Drosophila melanogaster: one gene and its partners. The protein of the gene in region 3 interacts with the protein of the main gene of each other region in a pairwise test. Each region holds a gene or a part of one and is shown on either strand. Other genes may lie near its edges.

The links.
Region 1: the proteins of CG6333 (region 3) and Drep2 interact in a two-hybrid assay, tested with the Drosophila melanogaster proteins (one large-scale study listed by BioGRID).
Region 2: the proteins of CG6333 (region 3) and CG18259 interact in a two-hybrid assay, tested with the Drosophila melanogaster proteins (one large-scale study listed by BioGRID).
Region 4: the proteins of CG6333 (region 3) and E(spl)m7-HLH interact in a two-hybrid assay, tested with the Drosophila melanogaster proteins (one large-scale study listed by BioGRID).

The regions. Positions count from the first base shown.
Region 1 is NT_033778.4:9,291,891-9,301,438, reverse strand, and holds the start of Drep2 (DNA fragmentation factor-related protein 2), read right to left. Parts: upstream 6,645-9,548; 5' UTR 5,870-6,644; coding exon 5,657-5,869; intron 4,174-5,656; coding exon 3,903-4,173; intron 3,173-3,902; coding exon 2,007-3,172; 3' UTR 1-2,006.
Region 2 is NC_004354.4:18,779,821-18,786,295, forward strand, and holds CG18259 (uncharacterized protein), read right to left. Parts: upstream 3,675-6,475; 5' UTR 3,556-3,674; coding exon 3,476-3,555; intron 3,414-3,475; coding exon 2,893-3,413; intron 2,836-2,892; coding exon 2,094-2,835; intron 2,038-2,093; coding exon 1,956-2,037; 3' UTR 1,445-1,955; downstream 1-1,444. Other genes in the region: CG6891 (uncharacterized protein), read left to right, coding at 861-1,184, 1,258-1,374.
Region 3 is NT_037436.4:17,478,928-17,488,711, reverse strand, and holds CG6333 (uncharacterized protein), read left to right. Parts: upstream 1-2,481; 5' UTR 2,482-2,521; intron 2,522-6,409; 5' UTR 6,410-6,507; intron 6,508-6,588; 5' UTR 6,589-7,846; coding exon 7,847-8,467; 3' UTR 8,468-8,583; downstream 8,584-9,784. Other genes in the region: qjt (quijote), read right to left, coding at 8,649-9,350.
Region 4 is NT_033777.3:26,034,560-26,039,487, reverse strand, and holds E(spl)m7-HLH (enhancer of split m7, helix-loop-helix), read right to left. Parts: upstream 2,451-4,928; 5' UTR 2,326-2,450; coding exon 1,765-2,325; 3' UTR 1,469-1,764; downstream 1-1,468. UniProt on the Drosophila melanogaster protein: Participates in the control of cell fate choice by uncommitted neuroectodermal cells in the embryo. Transcriptional repressor. Binds DNA on N-box motifs: 5'-CACNAG-3'.

The DNA of each region.
Region 1 (9,548 bases), on a different chromosome or scaffold from region 3:
TCATTTATTATCGTTATCAATCAATTATCAATTTCAATTTTCATTTATACATACTAGGTTTTCATTTAATCTTTTTTCGCTTCAATGCTTTAGTTTTGTGCCTTGGACAAATGTCTGTTAAAAGTCGCTTTCTTATTCCACTTCTCGATTCCGTTTTACATTTAAGTTAGTTTTGGTTAGATGGGAGTACAGTGTTGGCTGATCTCAGCATAAGGTCTTAGGATCTAATTGCGCAGCGGAAGTTTCTAAATCGAATGCACACAGATCTAATCCAGGACACAGTGACTAGCAACGTAGACCAGCTACGTTTGCAATGGACTACCTATGACGACCCTTTCTGAATAGCAATCCCAAGTGGGAGATGCCTTAACAATAAGAACTCAAGTCTGCAGTAAAAACAAGTCTAAGTGACATTAACAAAACAAGTCGAACAATGATGTTATAATAATTTTCAAATATCAACTATAAAGTATAAACTAGGAGCATAATATATTCAAACAATTCAGAGAATGTTTAGGTTCATTGGTTAGTTTACCCACACTAAAACGTACGTGCTTCCTTTCGATAGTATTATATTCATTACGTTGGCACATCCATCGCCTAAACCTTCCATGTCCTTGCCAAGAATCCTCCAACCCAGTGCTCTCTCAATTTATCCCGATTGCTTGATACCCGTATGGAACAGTCAAAGTTCTGGAAGTCGAAAGCCTAACCCAACGAATGTGGATGCAGGTGCGAATGCTAATGGCGATGTTGGCAGTGTTTTCGCTTTTACGCATTTTTCAATTACGATTTCGATTGCGATCGTGTGATGTCTTCTGATACATACTCCCAATGGATCTACGGCTGATTCTGTCGGCCATGCGGGGGCGGTCTTTATCTACTACACATAATTTTTTAGTCTGTCGTCAGGCATTTGGCGAGCATCGAGCATCATCGAGCGTCTTGCTTATTGTTTCTATTCTCTGTGTTTAATTTTAACATTGTGCGCGATTTGTTGAACGTTTGACAACACTACAAATAACGGCAGTTTTACATGCTGATGCGGATGATTTCCGGAATTTCTTTGGGGGCAGAAATGCAACAAGATTAACAAAGAATAGGCCACTAACAGAGAGTTACGCTGTCCAGGAACTATACAAATGCGGGTTGGGGGTTCGTTAAGCAAATTAAAATGAGGAACTCACTACATAGGAAAAGAGAGACCGACCAACTACAATTAGACCCCGCGTCATCATCGTTTTTCTGGCAACAACATTTTATAGTCTCTGTTATCTATATCTCTTTCACAACTTATAGTCTTTGGGGTTAGATTAGATTTCCTGACTCGAGTGGCAGTCTGTTTGTGGGGCTATCCAACTAAATAAGGCTATTTTGGCACACAATCACAACGGAACACGGAACATCTATTGTACAACAACGATAACAACACAAGGATGGCTGATTTGGGGGCTTGCAACTGATCTGTGGGCTAAATTTTGGGGCGTTTGAATTGAATTTTGCGAATTCAGAATTCGTTAAGCTGGCTGCAGACGGTGCAGTGATATTCTTCGACGTCTCCAACCAGCCATGCTTCTGATTTATGGTAACGTCGGTCCCCGTCAATGAGAATATTGGATAAATGCTACAAAAACTGCTCTTAAGTGGTTCGCGCTTGTTGCTGTTGTTGTGGGCATGGGTGTATGTGTTTCTGGGTGTGTGGCTGCTTTGCTTTCGCCTTTTTATAATTCACGTTTACGCTTACTTCACTATTGTACAATGTGCGACTTGCATTATTATATTCTCGTAATTATTTTATATAAGTATATATGTATATATGTATGCATGTTGGTGTGTGTTTGTGTGTGTGTTCTTGTGTCGAGCTGCTGGGCTACTCTTATTTTGGGTTTTTCCATTTTTTCGTTTTGGTTTCTGTAAAATGCGCTAGTTTATTGATACCTTCTGTGGCGCCCAACGTGGGACAGTCATGAACCTGTGGGTTTGCCCGTCTGCCTGTCATTGGCACTCTAAATTCTGTCCTCCTCATCCTCTTCCTCCTCCTCCTCGACCTCCTCGCCGTTCTCCTCTAGCTCCTCCTTGTAGCCAGGATGCTCAGAGATGGCATAGTAATTGCCATTGTAAATGACGCCCAGTTCGCGCAGCGCATCGCCGCGTATTGTCGCCTTTATCGTCCAGTTGTAGCAGTCGTCTGACTCGGACTCGCGATCCAATCGCTCCACGTCAAGGATCTTGGAGTTGAGGCGTTCCAGTATGATGCCGATGTCCTTGATGCTGAGGTGACGCTTCTGGTCCACCGACAACTGGTCGATCAGCAGCAGAAACTTCTCCGTCGTCGTCTTGTCGTCCTCCATCACCGTGTTCTCCGTTTCGCTCTCGGAGCTATCCCGCTCGGGAGCGATGTCCAGGAATCGCACATGGCCCTTGGCGCCCGAGGAGCGGCGTTGCATGCTGCCGCTTCCGCCGCCACCGCTGCCGCCCAGCATAGGATCCATAACCGATGGTGCCGACTGCGGCTGGGGACTGCTGCTTCCGTCCTGGATGGGCGACGTGGCCACGCTCTTGTGCACAGCGATCTTGCGCCCCTCCTCGTGCAGCGCACAGCAGTGGAAGTCGCACTCGGTGGTGCTGGGACTGCCCGCCCTGCTGGGCGTGTGGGCGTGGTGGGCGCATTCCGGCGTGTGCACATGGACAGCTCCCACACCCACGCCTACGGTGCTGTCGAAGGAGCTTCCCTGCTTGGAGAGTCGCCTGCTGCCGCCGGGTATCACAACTCCTGGCGGCAGAACAACGCCACCGGGATGGTATATGCTCGCCGGTCCGTCGTCGCTGATCACCGTTATTTGAGGGCTGGCATAGCGCGGCTGGGAGGACTGCGACGACACCGACTTGTTGTCCAGCGAACTCTGCGCGGAGAGGCCCTTCTTTGAGGGCGAGTACTTATCGGACGACAGCAGCCCATTGCTGCTGCCCAGGCCGGAGCACATGCTCCCCACTCCGCCGCCGGCGCCACCGCCTCCTCCTCCGCCGCCGCTTCCTCCACCCTGCCGCTGATCCCAGTGCAGAACGACCGTGACACGCCCTTTGTTATCCATGATCTTCCACGACGGTGTCTCATCGTGCAACTCCAGCGCATGAATCGTCTCACAGACGATTTTCGGTATAGCTGATATGGCTGTAAGAAAAATAATAGAATGAGATCCGAACCACTGAGAAATCCCAACTGAAGTTCAGTACGGAATGATGAGAAGGTCAACTATCGCCTCAAAAAATAGCTAATACGATATTCACTTAAATAGACTTGTATAAGAATCGGACGACCATGTTCTTGAAATTGTAATGACTGTCATTTAAATCTCTAAATAGCATTTTTCTTTTGTTTAATTTTTACGTCTTACGTTTTTGTTTACAATTCAATGCTAGCAGCGGAAATCTTAATAGCTTGCCAACGCATTAAAAACATGCTGAAATTTATTGCATTCAAGATCCAATGTGTCTCAAAACAGAGGATATAGTCCAAAGAATTGTTTAAATTTCTGTTCTTTAGAAATTGAATAAGTTCAGCCAACTATAAAAAGAATTTAAATTCATTCGCAAACAATTGACCTTGAAATCAATTCAAACAAGCCACATTGAAAGTTGTGCTAAGTACTAAAGTAAATGCTTGCTCTATGAATTAGTTATTCAATTTGAATGAAATTGAAAGAGTCTTTGATCAAATATCGAAATAGACTTTTTGCAAATATTTAGCTATAAGGGTAAGGCTCATAATTTACGCAGTGATAACTTATTTGAATTTAATATTGAATCTAAATGAATGTTTCCTCTGACCAGGTCTAAATCTATAATTAAATTTCCCGTGGCCAGTACTGATCCCGAGATGGGAGTGAACTTATTACACCCACCAGCCTTTATGACATCGACGCCAGTGGGATACCAGCGCTCGCCCTGCCTTAACAGCAGCAGCACCGTATTGTTGGCCAGGGTGCGAAAGTATTCGCCATCCTCGATTTGGGTTCCATCACACTCCAGAACAACGCGCACCGGTTCTGAAGCAGGAACCCCCAGCTTATCCTTGCCGCGGACCAAGAGCTCCTCGAAGGTCCCAACTACGACGCCCTTGCGCACATTCCGCCAGCTGTCCCAGATTTTCAGTGGTCTCTTGCCGCGAGACTCCTGCGAAGAGAAATTCGGATTAGTTGCGTTTTACGAATTACAATTCCAACTGCTGGCGAAGGAAGGGAAAGTGAAAGCTGAGATGTGGGAGGATGGGGATGTGGGATGTGGGATGCAGGGTGCAGGGTGCAGGATGGGCGTGACACCTGTGAAACGCTGCGCACGAAAAACTGACAAGTGGGTGTGGCAGCAGGCCCGGACTGTGTCATAATTTCCTCAGCCCGCTAATTGGGCTTCTCTGGCTTGGCCAAAAAGGGCGCAAATGTCAAGGCCACAACTGCTGCACTGCTCATATTAATTGTAGATATCTTATGGAATAAAAGTTGAAATAAATCCACGGCCCTCACATTCGAAATAAAGCAAATGCAAGTGCTAATGCTTGAAAATGGAAACATATATGTACATATAAAAAGGGCCAAAGAAAATTGAAAACGAATCCTTTTGGCTAACAGCGCGCACAGCTGTTGGCTAACAGTTGCAGGCAACAACAACAACGACCAGCCAGCCAGCCAGCCAGCCGAGCAGGACGAAAGCTGCAATGTTTAATGTATTGCAAGGACATGAGTGTGGCGCTCCAGTGACCCAGTAACGAGTGCAGCACACGAGCCATATACAAATATCTCTCTTCGGCCAACCAAGCCCCCAAATCCCCCGATCCACCGATCCCCCAGTTCATTCCCCGCCCGTTCACCCAAAATAAAATGTTTGAAAAATTACAAAAAATTCATGTTGACATTTTGCTTATTCCTCCGCACCGAAAACAAGCAGAAACTTTTCATAAAAATATTTCATTTCCCTCGCTCTGGCCAGTGTTTTGTGTGCTCTACTCGCCGCCTCATCCCTCTCCATCCAAACCATCGCACCGATTTTCCTCTTGGGATAGGTCAGTTGCTGCACCCCAGCACCATATGGCACCGAGGGAGTGCAGCGGGTCGGGGATGTGCTGGCTATTATAAATTATGAAACTGATAATACTATAAACAGCGAGCACTGCCAGTTCTAAGGCTCGATAAATCATATTATGCCGTAAAACAATTGTTGGAGAACTGGTTGAATATCGTAGCACTTTAAGATTGTGTGACTTAGCTTTAAAAAAAGGGGAAACTTTAGAAAACAAGTGGGTAATAGTACCTAAAGAAAATGTATAACATACGCTAAAGGTGATGCTTTATCTTCCCTAAGTAAAATAGTAAGATATTTCATTTCATGCAAGAAAAGAGGCAAACCAACCACCAACAGGTTGAATAATTTCAAATGAATTTCCAAAAACCATTAAACTAGTTATTGAGCAGTATTGCCCAACAAGCTATTCGATTAACCAGTGTGAAATGCATTTGAGGAGGTATTTAGAATTGGAGGTGGAATTGGAAACCAAACTGGATAAAGGACGGAATAGATTGAGTTTGATCTAGAAATGAAGGACATTTGCAGTCGATGAAAGCTAAACACTGAATAAGTATGGGTCGCAAAGCGAAACTATTACCATTGCGGACAGTCCGCCGTTTGTGACCGACGACGAGGGCCCCGTTGTGATGGCCCCACCACCCACTCCGGCCCCACCCGCCGCCGCGGCAGAGGCAGCTACGCCCTGCGTGGCCTGGGCCGCCGCCGCAGCTGCGGCTGCCACTTGTCTGATGCTCAGACAGTTGCAGAGCGGCTTCGTCACGCCCAGCGTGCACAGGGCGTTGGACCACATGGTGGTGCTGGTGGTGCTGTTGGTGGTGCTGCTGCTGCCAGCCACTTTTAGGCCGAGTCTCTGCGCTGGCTCTGCTGGCTTGCTTGCAATGGTTGGCCTCGTCGCTTCCAAGGTCGTCTTACACTTGGAGCTCCAAGCTCTGGTAATCCATGTCCGTTTTAAAAATCCGTTATATAAACCCGTAACCGATGTACGCCTTACAAAATCCGGAGTTGCGGATGCTTTTACCAAAAGTTCTACAAAAATTAAAGCTTATTGCTTATTGTTGGAGTCATAAATGCCTTGCGTTCAGGGGGAAAATTCGTAATTACAAAAATTGTTAAGGGGGTCACGAAAAAAAAAACGCACTTTGCACAAAATACAGCTTCTGGTATAAATGTTATCGTCCACGTTATTTGGTTACTTTAGTTTGTTGTAAATACTGGCAGAGTTGAAGTGCCTAGAATTTCGCTTTTCACTGCTCGTACTTCGCATTCGCATTCGCATTCGTATTTTTGGGGCAGGTCAGGGCGGGTTGACCTTCGCACTTTCACTTTACGGATACTACGCGCCTGCAGCGCCCTTTTGCCCGTGAAACCGCCGAGTTTTCATTTTCATTTGATGCTGAGTCCCAGTTATTAGACTTAATTATAGCTCGTTTTTAGAAACTTGATTTTGTAGAAAAACGCTTGATTTGTTTAGTTATAGCACCCAGTGGGAACGTGGTGTTTCCACGGGCCAAAGCAGCGTCCTTAGCTGCCTGTGTGCCTGGCAGCCTGGCAGAGCAAACTGTGAGTTTTCCCGACGAGATGCTGCATCGGATTTCACTACGGTAGCAGCTGCTGCTTCTGCTGCTGCTTCTTCTTTGACTTTTGGGGCTGGGTGCGTTTTTGCAGCGCGTTAACAGCGCTTGAAATGAGCACGAGGCATAAGCGCGAGAGAAGTGCAGTGAGAACGAGGTGAAATGCAGCACAAAGCTTTGCGAGAGCGAGTAGGACAGGTGGAGGAGTGGGGGTAGAAATCCCGTTACTACTATCTAGTCAATTTAATGCCTTCAGTTTTTAGGTCCCCAATTAAACCGTATTTGTTTTATCCACCCCACTATTTCCCATTTACTACCTTTTTTTCCATAATTTTCGATGTTTTAACAGGTAAAGATATTTCGTCGTGCTTTGGCCTACATTTGCATCAATGTGATATAATCAGGACGCCAAAGCGCGCGCACCTTCTCCCTCGAAACGCTTTACCAGCATTTCATAAGATCCCATCAGTTTGATTTTGTAAACATTTACTTCCAATCAACGGCGTTCAATTAATAGTGTTGCTATTGGATTGTGTGCCCCAGGAAAATATTTAGCTTTCTTTTAGACCTGATCTTGCTCGACATTTAAACTCTAGCATTAAACATTGAAGTCTTTTAATAAAAAGGGTGAGACAGAGAGAGAGTGATGCACTTTTATATGAAGCTCTCTACCTCTCGCAAAAGCATTGCCAGCTGTAAATGTGAATGGATAACAGAGCACTAAAACTCCTGTAATTGCTGCTGGCCGAGATTTTTAATTGCAGTAAGAAGAAGGAGAGATAAAGTTGTTTTGTTTATCCTAAATAATGCCAGATCAACTGCCAACTGAAAGCCATCTCGGCTGCATTTTTATCAGCTCTTAAAGGAATTCCAGCGCTTTGGGAATTCGCAACTAATTTATTTTTGGAGACATCCTCTCAAAGCAACAATTTTGGAAAGGCCAGAGAGCGAAATTCCTTTCAAAGGGGGCGCGAGAAGAGGAAGAAGAACAACAGTTGCAGCCACACGTGGGATGGAGGCGGCGGGAAAGGAGGGCGTTGGGGGAGTGGCACATCTGTGAGGCGTAAGTATTACCTCAGTTATTTGGGTCAAAGCTATTCACTCACCCGCAAAGCAAAACGAAACGAAGGAACTGCATAAAACATGCACAAACACACACACATATGCAGAGCAGGAGCTTGAGGGACACGCACACAAAGAGACTAATGCGGGCCACAGGCTTAATAGGTTTCTCTAGCGGATGCGGACGCGAGTGCGGAGCATCCGCAGCGATACGCCTTGCTAGATACACTCGCCAAAGGTTGTCATATGAAAAATTCACATAGATGGAGCAGAGTGCCTGTAGTTTAGGCCAGGCATGAATCGTATCCATTGCACCCATACTCAAGCAGCAAAATAAAAATTTGCCTAATCTTCTCTAGAAGTTGATTTATTCATGCATCCTGTTGTGTTGCTCTATAAAGAACCTATCTTTCGTTCAGCTGACCACGTAAAGAACAAAATATCTACAAAGACCAAGTCAAAGAAATATTAAAATATATTATAAATTTTACTTTGTTCAAATTGCATGTTATTAAAAAAAATCTATTACCTAGTATTATTTTTGATTATTTTGTTTCTACTGCTTAATTAAAAAATTCATTCCTACAGAGAATAATTATTTGTTACACGCAGCATTTTTATTATTAAGTTGTAGTGTTGGGTTAAACTTCTTTGGAAAAATATGACATAGGGTTAACTGTTTTAATGTTGGGAGAGGCTAACACCGTTGGTTGCAGATGTGAATGATGGGGGATGGTGATGAAGTGAGAACAGCTGATTTTGGCAAAGTAACTTGCGGTACCGTGGTGATCGGGAAAACTAAAACGGTTAAGCCGTAGTTGCCGGCTTTGCTTTGCTTTTAGCACGTTTGCACTTACCTCTCTGGCCATTACGACATGTTATCACCAGCGGCACCCGCTTAGAGGGTCTGCCATTTGCTCAGCGGCAATAACAACAAAAACAACACGGGAGCGCCTCTTAGAGCGAGGGAGTGGGAGAGGCAACAACAAAGCACACGCTTTTCGCGATACGAGAACTCTCGTGCGTCTACTTAAGTATGTGTGTGTGTAGGCGGCAAGCGGTATAGACGGAGAGACAGAGAGAAAGAGTGTGGGAGGAGTGTGTGCGTGTGAGTGTCTCAAAAATTCTCTACTACACGTTTATTTTCAATCTTCTCTTCCCGCACATTTCTCCAACGCGCCGATGCTGTTTCGTTCTTCCTCTTGCTTTTCTATCCTGTCCTTTGGCTTCCTTTCCTTCTTCCTCTCCACACCAATCACTGCGTGGGTATGTGTGTATAGGTGTGTATTGGAATTCGCAAAGGTATTTGATTAGGAAAGCTGGGATTTGTTTAAACAATTAGCATGCATCACTTTTTGCAAATTTGTTACAGTAACTTGGGTCAACCCACGCCCACTTTTATAGGTGCGGCTGTTGGGCAGGATTTGCTTTTTGGCAGTGGTGGTGGTGTACGTGTGCGGGATGCTTCTGTGTGCGTGCGAGAGAGCACATTGGAGTACCGTTATCGCTGGAGCCACATTTTCTTATTTGACATACACTTTTTTGTTGCACACGCACACGCGTTTCGTTGTTTTTTTTTTGTTACTTTAGTAAAATTTATTTTCTATACTCTCTTTCTTGAAAGCTTTCTTTTAACCGTTTTTTGTCCTTATCTCTTGGTATGTACGACACACACGCTTCACATACGTTCTAGTTTTTGGCAGTTGTTCAATTGTTCGAATTAATTCCGATTTCGGAATTTGTTGTTTTAACGATTTATGAGTTTTTTCGGTGCGGAAACAATAACATTTAATTCATTTTAAGCCGAGAAGAAATGCAAATCAATTTTTATTTTCG
Region 2 (6,475 bases), on a different chromosome or scaffold from region 3:
CAATAAGAGTGCACTACGTGAAAGGGTAGTTTTCCGATCCGTACTACAAGTATACTCGTATCAAAAACCATCGATCCAATCGCTTTACACGCTTTCCACGCATCTAAGCTGAGCCTAACTTTGTGCACATAATGCTACCCCAAAGATCACTTAATAAACCACAATTAAAATTAATCTTTAGCTAACCAAAATCGTATTGAGACTTGGTTTTTTACATTTCACTATCAAGCCATTCGAACTTATCAAGCAATTTAAATTCATTTACATATCGATATTTTTAAATCATCATATTTTTGGGCTTTGAACCAGAACCCTGAACCCTCATATGTGTGTGCTGATATCATTATCAAAAATGCTGTAATTTAATATGCGGGTATGTTCCAGTATGTTATCATAATAAAGCCTTTATTTTTTCTTCGAAATATGTACATATTTACATTGGCTACTTTTCCGCTGGCCCGCTGGTATTATGTTTATAAAGCACTAAAGCGGCAACAAATTGCTTTCCGTGAATCTGCCCGAACGTAATGCAAGTGGGCGATGCAATGGCGTGCCTATTCCCCTGGCCGACTTGAGGTTGCCTGACACGGAAACAAGTCGAATTGAATGTAATATAACCATCGAAAGCGAAAGCACCGCTTAAATCTGACTCATAGATGGCGCCGTCAAGAGTACTTGGCCCCGCATTGAGTACATACAATACATTTCGCTATCGATGGGCCAAAGCGGATGATCCATTCGCCTTGGCGAAACGATTCGGACTTGGAATACATGATTAAGATATATACTTCCGTCTGAAAGTTGCTTATAGTTCCCCTCTTCGCTTGCTTATAATCCTCTTCCCCCTTGCTCTTTCGCAGATGCCGCTGGCCACGTCGCTGGAGAAGGACTCGATTCGCGAGGCCTACGAGGATGTACGCTCCGATCTGACAGACACCGAGTGGGCGGTATTCAAGTTCGATGGCGCCCAGATTATTGTACATGCGCGCGGTCAGTGCTTTGAGGAATTCCGACAGCAGTTCGGCGACTCGGAGCGCGCCTTTGGCTACATACGCATCCAGATGGGTGACGAGATGTCCAAGCGCAAAAAGTTCATCTTCCTGACGTGGATCGGGCAGGAGGTGGGCGTCATCCAGAGGGCCAAGATGTCCACGGACAAGGCGCTGATCAAGGATGTCCTCAACGTGAGTAGCCAATAGCTAGAGATGCCAGAGCCCAGAGGCAGAAATAGATCCTCTCATCTCTAATCTCTTGCAGAATTTTGCCGTGGAACTTCAGGCGGGAGTGGAGGCCGAGCTGGACATTGAGCTCTTCCGTGAAGCACTGAACCGTGCCGGCGGCGCCAACTACGGAACGGGCATCCGGGATAACTAAGCGGCCTCCAAGTTACTTTACATATACATTTTTTTTTGCAACTCTTAACTGCTTACCAAACTGCTCCTTTCTCTTTAATTATTATGAATTAATTTTATGAAATTTAAAAACTGTACATTTTATGAAATATTATACAAGCAATTGTAACATTACTGGGTCCTCTTATTTATCGTATAATCATAATCCATAGTGTCATTCAAAAAAGGTAAAAGAAAAGTTTTCAATACCAAATTTCAAGAGCGGATGCAAAATCATTATCAATGCCATACATTTAATTGTGTATATAGTGGGACTGATGAATTACTTTGATGATAAGACAAAAATTTTAGCCACCTAATACTGAATACTGAAGTGGACAGATATGCCAGAATTTGCATTAGAAAATTCAAGTTTCTATAGTAAAGAAATGTTCTCGTTTAAACTAGTCTGGTTTTCTGAACATACGCTGGATGGATCGATTCGAATTTAATAAGCGCGAAATGAAAATGGACTACGTTGTTGAACTAAATACTACGGAGATGATGAAAATGATGAGAAAAATTATCTAGTTGCTTTAGTTCCCGGGCTCTGCCTCTCGCTTCCTAGCGGACCCTGAAGAGTACCGAGTGAAGTGCATCGATGTCCACCTCCACGCCAGACGAGTTTGTGGTCACGGTGCGAGAGCTACGGCCGAGAACGTTGAACAATACTGCTTGGTATCTTTAAAGCATATCACTCACCTGGCTTTGTGCACCGAGCGACGGGAGGAGTGCGGATTAACCAGCACACAGTGCATGGGCTGGTCATCGAACTGACGATGGTGATAGGTATCTACGGCCTTCTCGGCATGTTCCAGTGACTTGTAAATAACTTCGGCGGTGCCGGGACGCACCACACGAGCGTCGTACACTGGGCCGATGTCGCTAAAAAGCTCGCGAATATCCGCAGTAGTCACGTTAGTATGCAGATTGCTCACCAGCAGGCGGTATCCATCCTTTGTGTTCGACGTACGCAGCGACAATGGGGATGGCGAACGGCGCTTGTTCTTCGATGGAGCAGCTGCATCACCATCACTATCAGTACCGCTATCGCTATCCCTAGCACCACCGCCACCAACAGCCTTTCTCCGGTTCTCGTTGGCGTAGATGCCATGAGAAATGTGAGGATCCCTCTTACCGACAAACAGACGAGACCGCAGCGATTCTGGGAGTTTACTTGTGCTTGCTGTGTCGCGGTGGCGGCGCTCGAGAGGCTCCTTGGTGGTATTTGAGCGTCCAACTACGAGTCGGTTGGTCAGCGAAGGACGCTCAATGCGATTGCGGGCCGCCTCGTAAATGGAGAATGCATTGTTATCTATTTTGTTATTTAGTGGGGCCATGGACATCTCCACGTCGTCGCCGCGGTTCAGGTCGAGCCCACCAATTGAGTAGCGTGGCGACGCTTGCTTCATTTGCCCTAAGTGCAGTGTGCGAGATATTTCCTCTGAAAGTAGAAGAGTGCTTTTTAGGAACGGCTTGGCAGAGAAAGGCACTAACTAACCATCCTCGAGGTCCTGCATATTATCAAGATCAATATAGCGTCGTGGAGCAAAGGGTTTGCCCGGCTTATGGGATCTGGGGTCAAAGGTTCGACGCAAGCCGGACAACATGTGGTTACCCAGTTCAACGACCCCGTCGTCCGAGTCCCATTTCGCCTGAATGGTGCCGTCCGCATGGTTTGACATGCTAAGGCGGTGACCAAACTGACCGATGTGCACTCCCTTTCCGCGTGCGCGATGTGATGGCTCAAACGACTCTTCTTCGTCATCAATAAGTATTGGGCCCGCCGAACGGGCCTTCTTTCGCTCCAGCAACAGCTGGCGGGCATCGATGCCCGAGTCGCGCACGCTCTTGTTGATCAGATCCCGGGCATCGGCTATCTTGGCCCGTGTCTTCGCGGCGATCGTGTTTCTGGCATCGAAGGTGCGCTTTGCCGGCGTATCAGAGTGAGATCCTCGGGCACCCGATGGCTTGAAAAAAGGCTTGTTCAGCAGCTGGCGCGGCTTGGAGAAGTTCGCATTGCTGCAATGGAAAACGCATTGAGTGACATTCTATTTTTTCGGCTGTCCTGTAAATGTACTTACAACTTTCTGTCGAGGGGACGATAGCCGCGTTGCCCGCGCTTCCGCTCTATAATCTCGTCCAGACTCAAATCGATGTCCATGGCTCACAGTATACGCTTTTCACACCTTTTCCTAAGCTATGTGTGAAGTAAAAACAACCAGATTCAAATTATCCTGACTATTCGAACTACGTTCGTAAAAAAAAAATAGGACTGGCGTTTCACTGGTGACACTTGGGGTGGCAAACTATCGTCCAGCACTATCGATAGCAACTATCGCTTAAAAACATCTATGTTATTCTGGATATAAAATGTAAAAAAGAAACAGCAATATACTAACACTTATACAAATATACGATTAATACTATTAAACTACTTGTTCATTTACAAAAACAATTTTTGCATGTCTTAACATTAGTTTGTAGAAGATTGAAAATTCTCAGAACTGTCAATGATATATTAAGCTACATAATACGTTTTATCCACTGACATTACGAGTCACTAATTCACAGTGTGCCCCTTCGCACAACCGAGAACAATCGCGCTTAGGTGCTAGCCGACGTCTGGTCTGGTAACACTGATACCTGCGCAACAACAAAAACAACACCACATACTAAAACAAAAACCTCCGTGTGCTCTTCAGTCCTTGAACGCTCACCGGGACTGCCATTGTATGACTTCGATGAACAGAATTTGGCTTCACACTCTCTTCCTTCAGTGTAGGCCATGAGTGCGCCTCTTTTCACCCTTTAGTCGCTTTTTACGACAAGCCGGGAACGCTCAGGTAGTATTCTTCACTCGCCACCACACAGGACACCTGTTCGGGTTTAGCCACCTTCTCTGTTGGCCATCTCGTCTGATCGGACACGTTTAATCATTTTAATGATTAGACTGTGTCCCAGCTCCCATGCCTCGCTCTTTGCCAATATAGCTGCGAACAAGCCACTAGGGCTGAACGGAGCACCTGACTTCGTCTTTAGCTGCTCCCTCTCCATCGCAAACCTGGAGCAGTGCATTAGCACATGCTCTTCTGTTTTCTCACAAATGACGCAGAACAATCGACGTAGATAGGCCCGAATGCAGCCATGGTCCGTGTGAAACTGGGTTAGGTGGTAGTCCAAGCATTTGTGTTGGCACTCTGCCCAAACCGCCGACTCAGGAATGAGCTGGTAAGACCACCTGTTCTGCCACTCACCCAACAGCCACTCGTCGGTAAGCGCCACCCCGCTTTAGGCCGAGAGCCTTGATCTCCGATCAATTGGCGGCCTGCCAGAGTTAGTGCCGCGTCTTCACATATTGTCCTGAATCCTCTAATGAGCCTGAGGGCCATGGCTCCTTTCAGGTATGAACCCCTGCTTGTAGCATTGCTACAGATTGGTGCAGCGTACAGCAGCGAAGCCAGTTTCCTGGCCAGATAGCTTGGACCACCGATGTTGGGCACCAGTCTAGCCAATGAAGAAACTGTGACTGATGCATTCTTGCTGCCGTAACTCGCGTGGTTCTATCATAGCACCCAGGTACTTGAGGGACTCTTGGGAGGTCACCTGTGTCGCATTGACAGAGGACTAGCATATTCTCCACCTTTTTCCTGCTGCTTAGTACTTACTGCTTCGGTCTTGCGAGCCGCTATTGCTAGCCCGGCTTTCCAGTGGACGGCAGCTCCAATCGTGGTGTTACATTTGTCCTGCAACTCTGCAATTGTTTTGGCGACTGCTGTAATTGCCGCATCGTCTGCAAAACAGTGCAGCTCTACTCCCAAGGGCCTGTTGATGCTCCTCTACTATCGTATCCTCGTCCAGTCCACTGCAGGATAGTGCTATTCTTTGAGCTGCCGCACAGATGCCAAATCATTGACCGTCGCCTCTAGATCGCTTTTATACTTGGGAAAGCTTCCCGAGGCTTTTCCCACTACTTCGAGCAACAGCTCATCTAGCTGAGTTCTCCGAATTCTTCTGCCCAGTTCGCTAAGGCTCGGGTCCGATCTTAGTTTCCGGAGCATCTCTGCGTACCAAGCCTCACCCGTCTTCTTCACGATCCGTGCCTCAGGCTTTTTACGCGGGCGCATAGGCTTCACCTTGGTCCAATATGCACTCGTGCTAGCATTCTTGGCGACAGATGCGTAGCTGCCTGTATTGGACTCGTTTGATCTGGATGTCGCCTTCCCTTCTCCTCTACCAGTCGTGCGGTTTGAGCGCCAGAACTTTGGGCACTTGTCCCTTGGACACCTGCGCATTGTGAGAAGCGTTTTTGGTAGGCTTTTGTACTTTAGTCTGGGTAGCAATGCTCGTCAAGCGGTGCTCGCTAGTGACCCCTTCGTACAACTCTATCATCTTGTTAAGGGCTGAATGTTCAGAAACTAGGCTCTTGGTCTCTCTTGTGACGGTTATGTCGGTTAAGTCTCAAATGCGGATAGCAGCAAGTTTATCTTGCCATTCATCCTGGTGAGTATGCACTTCAGGTCGTTGTTCTGGAGAGCCGTGGTCAGGTCCGAAGACCGATTAGGGGATCCAGCTGGCTACATACGCAACCAGATGGGTGACGAGATGTCCAAGCACAAAAAGTTCATCTTCCTGACGTGGATCGGGCAGGAGGTGGGCGTTATCCAGCGGGCCAAGATGTCCACGGACAAGGCGCTGATCAAGGATGTCCTCAACGTGAGTAGCCAATAGCTAGAGATGCCAGAGCCCAGAGGCAGAAATAGATCCTCTCATCACTAATCTTTTGCAGAATTTTGCCGTGGAACTTCAGGCGGGAGTGGAGGCCGAGCTGGACATTGAGCTCTTCCGTGAAGCACTGAACCTCCAAGTTACTTTATATATACTGCTTACCAAACTGCTCCTTTCTCTTTAATTATTATGAATTAATTTTATGAAATTTAAAAACTGTACATTTTATGAAATATTATACAAGCAATTGTAAAATCAGTTTCTATACCATACATTTTGTTGTGTCTATAGTGGGACTGCTGAATTTCTATGATAATAAGACAAAAATTTTACTCACTAAACACAAAATTCTAAAG
Region 3 (9,784 bases):
GGAAATTTCTTTAGCCCAATTAAATGAAAAGAAACCAAATCAGGTTATTCCATGAATTTTGAGCTTATTTCTGGTTCTGCATGTTTGTTTGGCACTGATCGTTCTCTTTGAAATTTTATTTCGCCACAAGACTTAAATGCATTATACAAAAATTGTTTTTGGGAAATACACATTTTCAAATAAACAAATTCTATATATATGCAAGTTGAAGTAATTGTTAATTGGGGTTCTAAGTAATATTCACTTAAGCAAAGCTCTTATACTCTTATACTCTATTATTGACAAACCTAAATTGCCATCCAACTCTAAGTTCTTAAGTTGTCACAAAAAGTTGTCATTTTATGAACATATACAATTTATTTATTAAAGCTGTACTTACGCTTATCGCTCCTGTTTCGCTTTCTGGTTTTGTTGAATTTTTTCATTCAGAATTTGCTACGCAATTTACGCGTTTAATTTGTTGCTGCCTCTGTTCGCCGCACTCGTTTTTCTGTTATTTCACACACAATTTTTTTTATTTAATTGCACACATAATGAACAATATTAAATGCTATATTCGTATGTTTGTGCGTTGAAGACACGCACTCAGCCAATTGAAAATTGTATTTGCGGTTGGGTTTCAATACAACAAATTTATCAAGCACTCACTGAAAATGGAATTGGCACTTTAATTTTTTGTTAAAATGGTCTGAGGATCTTAACAATGATGTATTTATTGATTAAGTGTGGTTTTAATGAACTTCAAAAACGAGATTATTTAATATGTTATTAGTTTTATTCGTTTTCGTACAAGTTTCTTTAGGTTTTTGATCAGACAAATTTGTCAACCAGTTTTTTTTTTTTTAATATTTTTATAGTGTGCGAAAATATTTGTATTGAGCGTTTAGAAATTTAATAATTTTTTTCTGTGACTTGCACGACGAAAATGTGTGGATTCAACTGGGTTCTTGGACACAGGTATCTTTCAGGGAATATTGGAGGTATTGGGAACCGAAAACGAAACCGATTCGGAGCGGAGCGGAACCGAAAAGTCGAGCGACGCGTGCACTTACAGCGACGTCTGAGCAGCAAAAACTCGAGAATAACCAAAGTGCGGCTCAATTTATACGAGGAGTCGAAAAACACAGACCAGAAGATACATTTACAGATGCAGATACAGATACGCGTTCTCTTTGTGTTAGTGTATCTCAAAGATACTTCTAACCGTCACTCTCTTACGCTCTCTCTTCGCTGTGGGGGTGGTCTGTCTCCGCTGTTATCGTTATTGCCGCTCTCTCTGCGCGCTCTGTGTGTTTTGGTTATAAAAGTGTAGTAGATTTTTGGCATTTATCTGTTTTTGTTTTATTTGCATATGTTCAATATGCACGACCCACATTGTTGTTGGTGTTGTTGTTGTTGTCTGATCGCGGCGTATAGAAATAATACGTATACACATGTGTATATATACACCGAATGTACATATTATCTCTCTCGCCCCCCACTCGCACTCACACACACACACTCTCACGCACCGCACACATACAGTTGCACCGCCTGAGTTCCGCTGCCCGTCGGCACAGTCCGCACACGGTAACAATTCGAATACGAATACGCAAAACGGTCTGGCGAACTGAAAACAGCCAAAACTTTTCGCCTGCGCCGACGTCGACGTCGGCAGCGCAGCTGTTTGGAGCTGTTGGGGCTCTGTTAGGCCCCCACGCTGTTAGGGCTCTGTTAGTTCGGCTGCTCTCTCTGTTTGTTATCAGTGGCGTGCGCTCTTTTATCAAATTGGAAAGGGGATTTTGGAGATCAGACAGATCGACCTGGGTTAAACTTTCAGCATACCGGAATATTAGAATACATTACGTTTATAAGGGAATAATTGAAGTGGTTTTGATAGAAGTACCAATTCTTTCATAGAAAGACCTTTATTTTGATTGAAATTCGACAAGTTTGACTTTCTCTTAGCTTGGCTTAGTGTTTTTTAACTTACGAATCACATGTAGTACACAATATTTATTGTTGCATATGTACAATAAAATACATTTTCTGCAAATGACTCAACCAAGATTTTTCGTCTGGGTGGGGTGGGTAATATAAAAAAGTGAAGAGAAGTGATGGATATTCTAAGTCTATGATTCGATTGATTAATTTCTTATTATGAGCTATACATTATTTTCACTAAGGCATGAGGAACAGCTTAAAGCCTGAAAGTTTTGCATTTCAAAGAAAAGTGTTTATGATGAGGAATTTTGGTGGTTTAATGTTCGTTACATTAATGCTCGTTACATTTTAGTTAGTTCCAGCGAAGTACTAAAAAGGAATACTTTTTGCAAAACGTGCTAAATAGTTTCTATAAGTTGCTTTGTGTGTTTACCAAGTGATTTTTGCGATTAAGGGTTATCTCTTAGGTTATGCATCTGCTGTCTGTCGGTGCAACTGACTTTACAATATAGTCTACAGTCTTGGAGGCTAATGGAATTCAGTTTGCGAAATTCCTCGAGTAACTCTCTGGTCGCCTATTAATATTCATATGTGCAAAGTACGTATCAATTGCATATTCGGCGCAAGGTCGTCTGCCAAGCGGCCAGATAGATAGGCAAACTGTCAGATACGCGTACTCATGCAAAGTCTGTGCGCAATAATCAAGCAAATTGAGTGCAACGCAGGCGATGGCGCAGCCGTATCTATTGGCTACTCTTTTGGCAAACTCCCATCGATATCGGCTCGATTCGCAGCTAGACGGCTAATTACGTGACATGTTAGACGCGAAAACAAGTTAAACACGCTCGTTCGATTTGTGTAATTAATTGCAGGCCGAGACGAGCGAGAGCTCAAAAACAAATTCACCTCGAAATGTGCATTGAACTTTTGCGGTTGCTTTTCTCGCCGCCGCCGGATGAATGTTGTTTTCCCTTTTCGGTGGCTCGCTTTTTTTGTAACCAATTCTAGTTGCAATCCGCTGCTGATAACCCGCAGATGAACCCATGGGTGTTGGAGCTTCCACATTGAAGGGGGTTACGCATTCTGAGTGGGCTTGTTGGTGGGTGGGATGGGGCACGAGCAGCTGATGCAGCTGATGTGTGTGTGTCAATGTTTCAGCTTGTAAACAAACGGCAAGCAAATAATGACAAAGTCGACAACGAAACTCCAAAAGTGTTCCTTATTGTTTGTTGTATTGACTACATCGCTGGGCTTATCGCTAACCGTTGTCAGATGGAATAAACATTCACATTTATATGTGTTGCACACAATGTGGTGTGGTATGTATGTGCAGTGGGGCTTCCTTATGACGAACTTGTATATTACATATATTCCTATAAATATTAGGTATTTTTATTGCTAATAAAATAAAAAGTAGAAAAAGCAAAAGCTTGCCATACAATTACTTTTACTAATTCTTATTTCTTTAAGCGATTTCCCTAATTGTTGTTAATTTTTAATGAGCTTGATATTTTACTACTGAAAGGGGAATTGGATGGGGAAATGTTCTTATTTAATCTTGACTGAAAGCAGGAAGCACGCTTATGAATTGGATGAGTTTGAAGCGAATAGAACGGATCAAAAGTCGGAGCTGGCCTATAATGTGTGTCAGTGGTGATAAGCAAATGCGGGGGGTGGGAAAACTATTGTATAAGATCTGAACGGAGTCACTCGATTCTACTCCTCGATCGAATACAGTTTGCATTCGTTATAAGGGTACTTGCCTCTGCCACTCCGAGTCGCCCCATTCCCCGAGTGTGCCTGCCATGACTAATTAAGTAACCAAAAAAGTATGAAAAGAAGGCAAAAAGCTGCTCAAATTCTCAGCATTAAAACGTGCCGACAACTTTGTAAAGGCTGCCAAAAATGCACATTTTTATTTATATTCGCACACAAGTTGTTGGGACATGCTTTTTTGGAGTTGGAATCGATGCGAAGGGTAACTTAGCTGACACGTGAGATTTGAATTTAGCATTTGGGATAAGTGGAAAATGAGAATTATCTTGAAAGTATCTTTATTCGGATACTATTTTAATATGCATTTGATTTTTGTCAGACTAACCATAAAGATTAATCTTTAAATATGAATTAATTAGTAGGTAATAGTAACTAACAGAATAAGTACAACAAGATTTCTTAAGCTATAAGAAATGTAAATATTTAAAGATAATACGTATGTTTAAAAGAGTTAGAAATAAATTCGAAATGAATGTGAATAGATGCTTTTTATAGTCTAGCCAATAATTTGTTAATTATTTCTTAAATAGTGAATTTGCAATTGAAAGTTCCAACCATCATATTAGAGTACCAGTGGGTGTGTTTTAAGGGGCTGAAAGTCGAATTCCTGCCACATGGAGTTTCGATTCCTGGACTCTTCTGCCCGTGTGAATCATGAGCATTAAGCATAAAACCGACATTTAGCTGATTGATCTTAATAAGAATTTTTGCGGCGGGGCGGGGCATTCGGGCGGAGGATGGCTAACGGATCCGTTGGGACGGGTCAATAACATTGTGCGGATGCCTCCTTCTGATTCTCCCCCATATGCATCCCCATATGGATCCACCGATGTTGAGTCCCTGAATTTGAGGGCGTTGCTGGGCTGCGCCTGCGCAACATAACAAACTTTGTGTTTGTTTCCCCCACTCGATGGCGTTTCTTTAATAACTCAGAGTCGAAGTCAGAAATTTTTGGAAGCGAGTAGGAGCTGGGGGGTTCCCTTGTCGGAAATCTGAGTTTGCTTTGCTGAGTTATGTTGCATAGGGTTCTTTCATCCGACTTGGTGCGCGTTTGTATCTCCCAGTATCTTGCGATATAGATATATCTGCGATTTGCACCCAGAACGGATGTCTGTGCTCGATTGTTAAATTGAAATTTGTCGCCAAAAACCAGCAGAATTTGCAAAGCAAATTTCCGACCGAAGTGTCTGGCCTGTTGCATATTTCATATGTTTTGATTCTTGTCTAAAGCTACAGCTTTTTGGCGATTCCTCTGCAGATTTATGCGCAAGTGCTTAATCGAGGCAAGGATACAATAGAGGGTGGAAAAACTGTGCCAAAAACAGCAGTTTTCATTTGAAATCTTCGATAAAATGCAAGACTTCAAGAATTTCAGATTCTACGGTTTTTATTTTTATTATATACTATCAAATGAGGGTATTTTCAAGTAATTATTTCTGATTTATGCGGGTAACCATATTTTTTCTAAGAATATTTAGTGCAAACAAACAAAAAGCCCATAAATCAATTCACTTTTATTTGACTTTTCGAGTGCATTTGATTGTTGCTCTCGGGGTGAGCAAATTGCGCAATATCTACGTCGATTTTTGGCCGTCTAGCAGGCAAATTAAATCAAGCTGCACAGCCGAACACGAAATATATAACCTGATTTCGATGTCTGCAATTCAAATTAAATGCAATTAAACCGAAATTGATAGAAACAAAATCGAACGAATCCAGCAAGCTCTGCGTCTGCTTCTCCATTTTTTTTCCACGATGGCACTTGACAGCTCCTCCTTCTTTTCTGTTCTGATTGCCTTTCCTTCGTCCTTTAGACATCTCAAATTTCGTCTAGCCGAAGTCTACGCTTCTAAGGGGCTTATAAAAAAAAGTATATATAAAAAAGAACGAGACAGAAAAAGGCCCTGGACTTCTGGTTTGGGTTTGGGGTTCGCCTGTCTGCTCCCTGTCTGCTGCGTGGTTCCTTTGTGCTTGGCTTAGATGCTAGTCGGGTTTGGACCTTTTTTTTATGTTGTTTGGGTTAGTCTGCCGAAATTCTGGGTCTTTGTTTTGATTTCGCATTTTGATATCATCTTTCGGCATGTGCAAAGGGGTCGGAGGGGTGTGAGGGAATGTCGCTCTCAAAGCCGAATTTTGTATATATTATATGCGGGATTTATAGAGCTGGCAGTTAGTAGCGAGTCTGGTTGATGCAAGCCAAATTAAATAAATAATTAAATTATACATTTACAAGTATGGAGTTTCCTTGCCTATTCATAATTATTATTTATATTTAATACATTATTAATCTTTTACTGTTTTTATTATCCCTGCTGATTCACTACACAAGAATGCTGTGCTATTTTTGTAAAATAATATTATACATAGTTGTATAAAATTTATTTATATGTTTAAGGTTCCACATAATTTTTCGTACTACAAAAAACCCAATTAAGTTCTTGTTTTGTTTGGTATAGTAGACATACAATGGCTAAATTAAAATTAAAAATTAAAATTAATTAAAATCAACATTTTCAAAGGCCTTGTTATCTGAAGTACCACAATTACATTGTACCCTTTTATAGCCTTTTAACTATTGTCATTAACTATATCAGTGATAACAATTTTATGTATTTGTATTAATCTCTCATTTCAACTACTATCTATCGTTACTAACAGTTTTCTGCCAAAACGATTTTAACTTTTAATTTGATTTGACTTTAATTATTAGGCAAAGTATCATTGGAATCTCTTGGATGAACATCATTATGGTATTTAAAGCTCTTGATTTATCAGATTTCATTTCTTTGTATTAGAAACGTAATCAATGTGAGTTATTTTTATCATTTTTATTTATTAAAAATTTTAAAATTATTATTATTAAAATATATGTATATATTTGATCCGCAGATGTTTTCGCTCATCTCTGGCGAAAAATTACTCTTCCTCAATCTTTTGGCTGCCGAAAAAGTAGCCAGACGAATGTCCACATGTGCCGGGTATGTTGTATATAGTATCTGATGTCTGGACTTTTATTGTATGGCTGACCTTGAATTTATGGAAATTGCATAAGTGGGAAGAAGTTTGTCATATTAAGAAATATACTGGAAGCATAGAAAGCCGAAGGCAGTGATGGTGACATAAACGACCAGACCTTGGCATTGTGTTGAAGGACTGTGAATCGAATTATTCGAGGAAGTTGCTTGAATTATGGCTCAAGGGGGTACTTTGAATTTATGAGTATTCAGGATATTAAGAATGTCTTTTTTTTCGCCGGCCAGCACCATCCATCCATCTTCCACACCCCGAAAACCAAACGAAATCCGCTTCCTGCTGCCAAATAATTTACAACTTGCGAATGCGATGCACAGGCTATGGGAAGAAAACAAATAATGATCAGTCGCACATAATGCATGCATATATCCATGGGCATATCGATAACCCTTATCAAGTGTGCGGCATCGCGGCCAAAAATATACAAATTATGCTTACCAAAAGGCAGAGAAAACATAAATCAATGGTTTTGGAATACTCTAACCAAGACAGCAATGTATGAAACTTCAAACATTTTTCCTTATTTCCAAATTTACTTAAGAGATATTAAGATAAGTATACAAGAAGTGCAAATTTGTTGTACCTACTTAAATATTCATATGCATACATGTATGTACATACATATATGGTTATTTGCGTGTGGTTGGTCGCCTCAAGTGATGGGCGTGGCACTTTCAACTCTGGTTCAACCCATACAATCATGAAAACTCTGACCAGATCTTGCCAAAAATGAGCCCACCTTGAACCTGAGTTTATCAAATTGCAGTCATTTTGCTTGTGGTTTTTATAGTACTTTCAAATAACTGAGATTAGTTGGTCAGTATCGTTACAAAAAAAAGGGTAAAAGTGATCGACTTTTTCACTTTCCGCCAATTTGAGGATATTTGCAGAGATTTGAGTGTTGCATGATTCATAATCGAACATTTATATCATAAAAAAGTAAACAGTTCAGTTGCTTATTTATTACGCAGAATTGCCTTAAGAGTTCAATTAACCATTAAATATTTTTAGAGGTGAAACAACGTTTGCCCTCACTTAATCGACAAAATTTGAACTAATTCGAATAAAATTAAGAGTCAGAACGAATTCACGAGTGGCTAAATTATTGTTTAAAATGACCAAGGGCGTGAGGATTTGCAACGATGGATTGCCTGGTTTGCCGAATGAAAGGCCATATTCCCGAAGAACTTTAGATACGCGGCAAAAGACTCAGAAGATGTCCTCCAGGCCATCTAGGAAACCATTGCAGTCTCTACAAACTGTCGGTCGGAATACGAGTTCCAGCCTGAAGCGCATAGGAAGTCCGATCTCCGAGGAAGAATTTGGTGTCCTGGTGCAGCAGGATTGTAAGGCAGAGCAGCATCACACCGATCGCCAAAACCTGGCGGACATAATCCTTATGCAGGCCCGTCGCATCGAGAAGCAGCAGCGGGAGATGAAAAGAATAAAGGCGCACTATGAGCGCCAGGTGTCCACCATCAAGAACAATGCCATCATGCTGGAGTCGCATCTGCAAAAGGTGCTGGCCAGTGTCGAAAGGGATCGGGCCAAGCGGATTGGCCACCACTGCCAGGACATGCTCGGTGCCGTGGAGAAGCTGCAAAGGAGCGACATCCAAGTGAAGCCGCAATCTTCGGCCAACCAATTGCTGATCCAGTATCTTCACTCCAAGAAAATTTCGCATTCGACCAAGAAGTCCAATGAAAACACAAGTAGGTACAGGAATATGTTGTGAATCGTATTCTTGTGTGTACATTGTGGTTTCACTGGGTTTTGTGGTCAGCTTAAATTAGCATATATGTGTATTAATAGAAGTACAAGTTATTATAAAATAAAATAATGGCAACAATGAATTTATTTTATTTTACTAAGTTAATTCTCAACAAGGACGGAGTTGGGCACAATCATTATCTGTTCTATTCCTCGTCCTCCTCCGAGGCAGTTACATCCACGATCGCGTTAGACATGCTCTGTTGTATCTTTTGCTGGACATTGGCGTCCTGGACCAGGTGATCTGGCTGGATGTAGCACAAGTTGGCGCAGCCGAGCACCGGGCATCGGATGCCAATGCGGTCCATTATGATCGGCATCACCGAGTCGCGGTCGTAGATGTGACCGCACATTTTGTTGCGCATGGGGTTCTTTATCAGGGCCTTGGACCAGGGATCGTAGAACGAGAAGACCTCGCTGCCGGAGTCTTCCATAATAAGGTCCTCATCATAGGCGGTGCCATTCGCTTGATCATTGACTTCCGCACCCGCCTGACCAGCTGCTGATTCAACTGCTTTTACGAAGTTCTTGAACTCGTGTAGATTCTTGACATTGATGCGCTTCTGCTCCACCGCTTTGGAGCGTTCCTTCCAGACTTCCTCGAACTCCTCGATGGTGGCGCTAGAGTTTTTGACCTGATTCATAGCCTTGTTGAGCGATTGGTGCTTTATCTTCATATGGACTACATTCACGGCGTGCTCCACGCTCTGCTCAACGCTCTGCTCGAGCAACTTCTTGATCTTCCCGCCATCGCTGAAATCGGACACGAAATCTGACATTTCCTTGAAGAACTTTTTGTTTTCCACTAAAGTGGAAAGTGCGGAATCAGCAAGGTAATTGAATTCCATTTTATCCAGAATATTTAAGCCAAATGTTCAAGACTGATGGTTAGTTAGGCTAGCCTATTAATTAGTGGTCTTTGAATGGACTTATATTTATAAATAACGTTGATATTTACCTGAAATTAGGTTTTTAAGCAAATGCCACGTGGAATGTAATCGCTTAAAAACTGGAATCATCGAGAATTTATCGTAATTTACGATATCGATCTTAAATCGAAAGCACAGATTTTTCGGTTTTCGTTTCGTTCGAATTTTTCGATTTGTAAAACGGGCACTTTTATCTGGTCGAAATAAAAAGTAAATGCCTTTTTTTTATATCAAATCAGATCTTATTTACAGGGGAACAAATATCGAAGGTTGCCATTGAATTGCGTAATCAAAAAAAATTTCAATTACCGGAGCATGCTTGCATAACAACGTTTTATTTAAGTTTTTAAATG
Region 4 (4,928 bases), on a different chromosome or scaffold from region 3:
GGGTGGTTGGCAGGGGGACGTGGGTCAAACGGGCGCAGAAAGTGTGCCCCGCGTGCCACACTCGTGGCCGAGGTTGAGTACTCAATGCCCAGGCTGAGGTGAGGTGGGCCTTGTGCCGGAATGTCTACCTATGGGATGCACATAGTTAACTTCCTGCAACCCCCTAATTGGTAATTAGTAATTTTTCACCGGTTAATTGATGTGCACTTTTCAAATATCTTGTCTTATGGTAAATGTGGTTTGTTCAATGTGTGGCTCATCCTAATAAGATTGTTAAAGTAATCATAGGATACAAAAGTTTTCTTTGAATTTAGTTAATAGGAACTTATAATGTCTGGCGTATCTTTCTAAACCCATTTTTAATTAGCTAATATTAAGTGCTTTTGGTTTCGGAATCTTGGGTTTCGCATGCAAGTATGGTGTATTAGAATTCCATTGAGTAAATTTCACTTTCGAGTTAACTTTTATAAACTCTGTTTCTATTAGGAAACTAATCGACCTCTGACATCGATGCCTACCTATGGGATTTGTGTCCCTCCCTTGCAACCGCCTAGGGTATGCTACTTCCTCACTTAATAATTGAGATGGATTTGTATATCTCCCTTACAAATCTTGAGGGTTCTTAATATTGACATTTTATGGGTGGAAAACAACGTCATTGATTATTGTAATGGGGAGGGATACTCTCACTTCTTATAGTATTTTGGGTGTCAGAGGTTAATAATGTGGTATGAATTTGGAATTGAATACACTTACCTATGATTTTACGTAATGCTATTGCAACCCTCAATATGTGATGTAATTTAATTGATTAATTGTAAAAGAATAAATTTTAAGGGATTAAATATAATAGGGTATAATGTGTGATAAGTAATCGAGACGCGTGCTGAAACTCATTTGTATGTTTCTTGACCATTCTTATTGACCTTTTATTGGTGGAAAAATTATAATGCCGCATTTAAGGTTTATAACAATGTATTGTATTGTGCTAAAGGATGTCAAATACTTTCATTTCATAGTCTGTTGACAAAATAGTTACTGAAATAGAATATAAGTAAACACATCGTGCAAATGAAAAATAACGACCATTAAAAATATGAAATTAAATTCCTTTTTATTATTAAATGCATGCTTGACAACTAAGTGCACATTAGTGGAGCATGTTTTGCTATTATGTTTAACTGTTATTGAAACTTGTTATTAATATAGCTCGTTTAGGATAATGATGGGCTTTAAGATAATGAACATAATTTATGGGAAGTCCATTTTTTTACACGTGTCCTAAATAAGCTAGTGCACACGATCGTTTTATTATATTGGACCTTAAAGTTCGCGCATACCAACATTAAATATTTTCAATGGAATCTTCTTCCTATTGGAATTTAAAGACAAATACTGAAGTTCAATATCCCCTATTGGATTGTGCTGTAAAATAGATTCCCCAAATAATAAGATTCTTGTATAATTTCATTTCATATTTTGATTTGTATTTAAGTTTTTCATTTTGTATCTTTTCATATTGTGTTCTTGAGATCTCTTAGCTGGTAAACATTTGTATATATGTAGAGTAAAAAACAGACTTCTGCTCGATTGATTTAAGACAAAAGTTAATAAAGCGTGCCCTATCACAGACTTAACTTAGAAACCTAAAACTTGGTAACGTAACAAATAAATGAGGATCATTGTAAAGCATTTTTTCTAAAGCTGCGGTTCCAATTGCGTGATTGCCCGTCGGGAATTCAGTCCTTCCAAGTAGATCTTTGTTTACCAGGGACGCCACACCTGTCCGGGGCTGCTGATCTGGAGCAGAGACTCGTTGTCGCTGGCATATCCACTGGAAACGGGACTGATGGAGGAGCAGGAGCTGGCACTGGAGTAGGTGCTGGAGCTAGAGCTGGATCCACAGACGATACTGAGTGGAGTGTTGACGGCTTGCGGTTGTTCCATGGGCTGCTCCAGTTGGTTGAGACGCATGCCCAGATGGGTCATCAGTGTGGTTCCAAAAGCCACATCCACTCGGGGAAGGGAGGCCAGGGCGCGGGACACTTCGTTGGCTGCCCGGATGTATCCAGCACGGAAACTCTGTTCGGGATTGGCCGGAACATGCTTCTTAGACTCTTTCAGCTTGCGGAGATGCTGCACGGTGACTTCCAGGATGTCGGCCTTCTCGAATTTGGCATCGCCAGTCTGAGCAACGCACTCGGCCATCAGATCCTTGAGCTCGTCCAGGCACTTGTTGATCCTGGCACGACGCTTCCGCTCCAGCAAGGGCTTCATCACCTTGCGGTACTGATAGGTTTTCGACATCTCGTATTTGGTGGCCATTGTGTGTTTGTTTTGTTTATTTGTTGCGTTTAGGTAAATGGAAGAACGACTTGTTGAAGAACTTCTTCGATCTTTCGGAGGAGGTTATCCTGAGATGTTGACTGCACGACGATTGCGTTCGAAATGTTGCATTCGTCTCCGGTTACCGCTGCTTTTATAGCTGCACGTGCCGCCGCGAGAGCGTCTCGTGCTCAGCGCACGCTGCTCGGAGAAAGAGAGAAGAGAGAGCTGCGGAGCCTCCGAAGAACCACCACCTGCGGAGCAAACTACTTTTACTCAGTCACTGGGACACGATCCTCTCGCCTGCATTTTCGGTGGTGGGTTTTTCTCCACAAACAAGTTTGGAACACACCTGCGGTAAAAATAGTATGAGAAATGTGTTTAAAGCAGCTATAGTTCTTCGAGCGAATATACAAATTTGTTGTTATATACCTAAGAAGTACGTTACGTTTTTAACAATTACTTCAAATGGGTTTCCCTTAAAGCACTTAAATGTCGTTTTATTAAACAAAAAGAAATTAACATAATGTTATACGTTTACACCTAAAAAATTAAATTAGCACACTTCTTAATAGTAGTGATTTTGAAAATATAAACATTATCTAGAACTTTAAATATGTTCTCAGTACTATTGCTATGGCCACTGGTGTTCGGTGTAAGTGAGTCTCGGCAGGGGATGAAGATGCGATAGTGCAGTGGTGGTGGTGCGACGGTGGTTGCACATGCTGCTTCTCTGTTTTCCTTTCCACTGACATTCGAATCGTGGGAAACACTTTGCCCTCAAGTTTCCCACAAGATTTTTCTCGCTCGTTGGTGTTATAAGTTATAATCGGAGGTAGCCCGTGTGCGAGTCCCGAGTCCGAGCTCCGAGTTCCGAGCCCTTATGCACATGGCACAGTGGGCCAAACCGATGAAACACATGCGGGAATTTTGAGGGTGCCTTGCTTGAATGAATTCTTCAAGGCTTTTCCAACTACGTGAAATTTAAGGTTTACGGAATTTACGCATACTGTTATCTACTTGCTAGACAAAGTTTTAGCAATTTCTGTAGGGATCGTGGGAATGCGAGTTTTGGGATGTCGGAAATGGGGTTTTCCAAGGCGAAGATGTGTGCAATTTTGGGACTCGCAGGTTTGGAAATCAGTATCTTACGGATTTTTTGTTGCCTGTTCTCAACTTGCTACGGTTAATTTGAGAACCTCTATTCAAAGTCGTGGGAATGTGAGTTTTCGAATGTGATTTTTGGGGTTTTACCAAACGGAACATGCGTGCAATTTTACGACTTGCAGGTTTTAGAGTAAGTGTTTATGGATTTCTCGATGTGTTTCTACTTGTAAAGAATTTTTACTAAACTATCTGCTATGTTGGAAAGGTACATTTGTTCCTAGAGGTTTTTCTAGGCATATATAGTCCGAGTATAGGGACTTTTGTGAAAGGTGTTTTCTACTTGCTACGGATAATTTTGTTAGCTGCGACGGTGAGTGGGAACCTGAGTCTTGAAAAACATTAAGGTTCGTGAAGGTTGCAGTTTACAGAATATCTATGTATGGGATTACTGTACCCAGATGGGTGAAATAAAGAAATATTTGGAAAAGATGTTCTTGTCAGGTTATGATGTTTAAAAAATTTCTAAAAAAAGAAACCATTTTGTAGTTTGTAGCTAAAAGCATCTAAAGATTGTGACAAGACCCTAAATTGTTTTCAACCAATTTTCGTTCCATTCGAACCACTGTAAATCTGACCGAGCTGCTAGTGCGAGTCACGGGTAGTGCTGAAAAAACTACCACCTGCCCTTTATTTTATTTAATTTTTTCTTGTCCATCGTGGGCCCTACACATATCGCCCTCTCCCTCGCTCCTGCTCTTGTCAATTATGAATGCTGAATTGTAGCTTCTGTTGAACACTTGGGCCCTGGGTTTCGTTTCGGATGGCATCGGTTGGGATCGTCCATCGCTAAGTGGCATACATATACGCGTATGGTATTCCTGCTCACGTCGGGACATCATCATCGTGGGACCCAGGTCCCAGAAAAAGGGATGATTGTTCGATGGATCGACGAGGGACATGCAAACTAAATGACTGTACGGCAAATTGACACACACTAAAGATTAAATGTATCGCATTCGTTAACTATATAAACAATATACGTGGCCGGTTTGAGGAACGCTGGCTGCGGCAGGAAGTGTGTGTGTGCAGTGCACTGCGTGCTGAGAGTGTGCTGAACAACGGGCCGTTACAATTTTTCTGGCGACTGTGAGAAAATTTCTCGAGCTGCACATGGCCAGCTCCGGGCTTTTGTTGTTGTTTTTTCCACTTTTTATTAAGTAGGGGCAACCATTTGGGCACGCATCGGGGTTGGCTTATTGTCAATGCATCGCTATAATCGCTGCTGCTGCTGGGCAACCGACGTTGCTGGCCGTGTAATTGAATATGTGTGCGCATGCTTGGCACGCCAAACGCGCGACAGACGCGGGCAGCTAAAAACAAAAGCCAAAGGGCCCCAACAGAAGCTTGCTGCGCGCCACGCATGCGCAATAAAATCGCATGAAATGCAAAAAAGAAAAACAAAAAAAAAAAAAAATAAATAAATAAAAAGAGTTTAA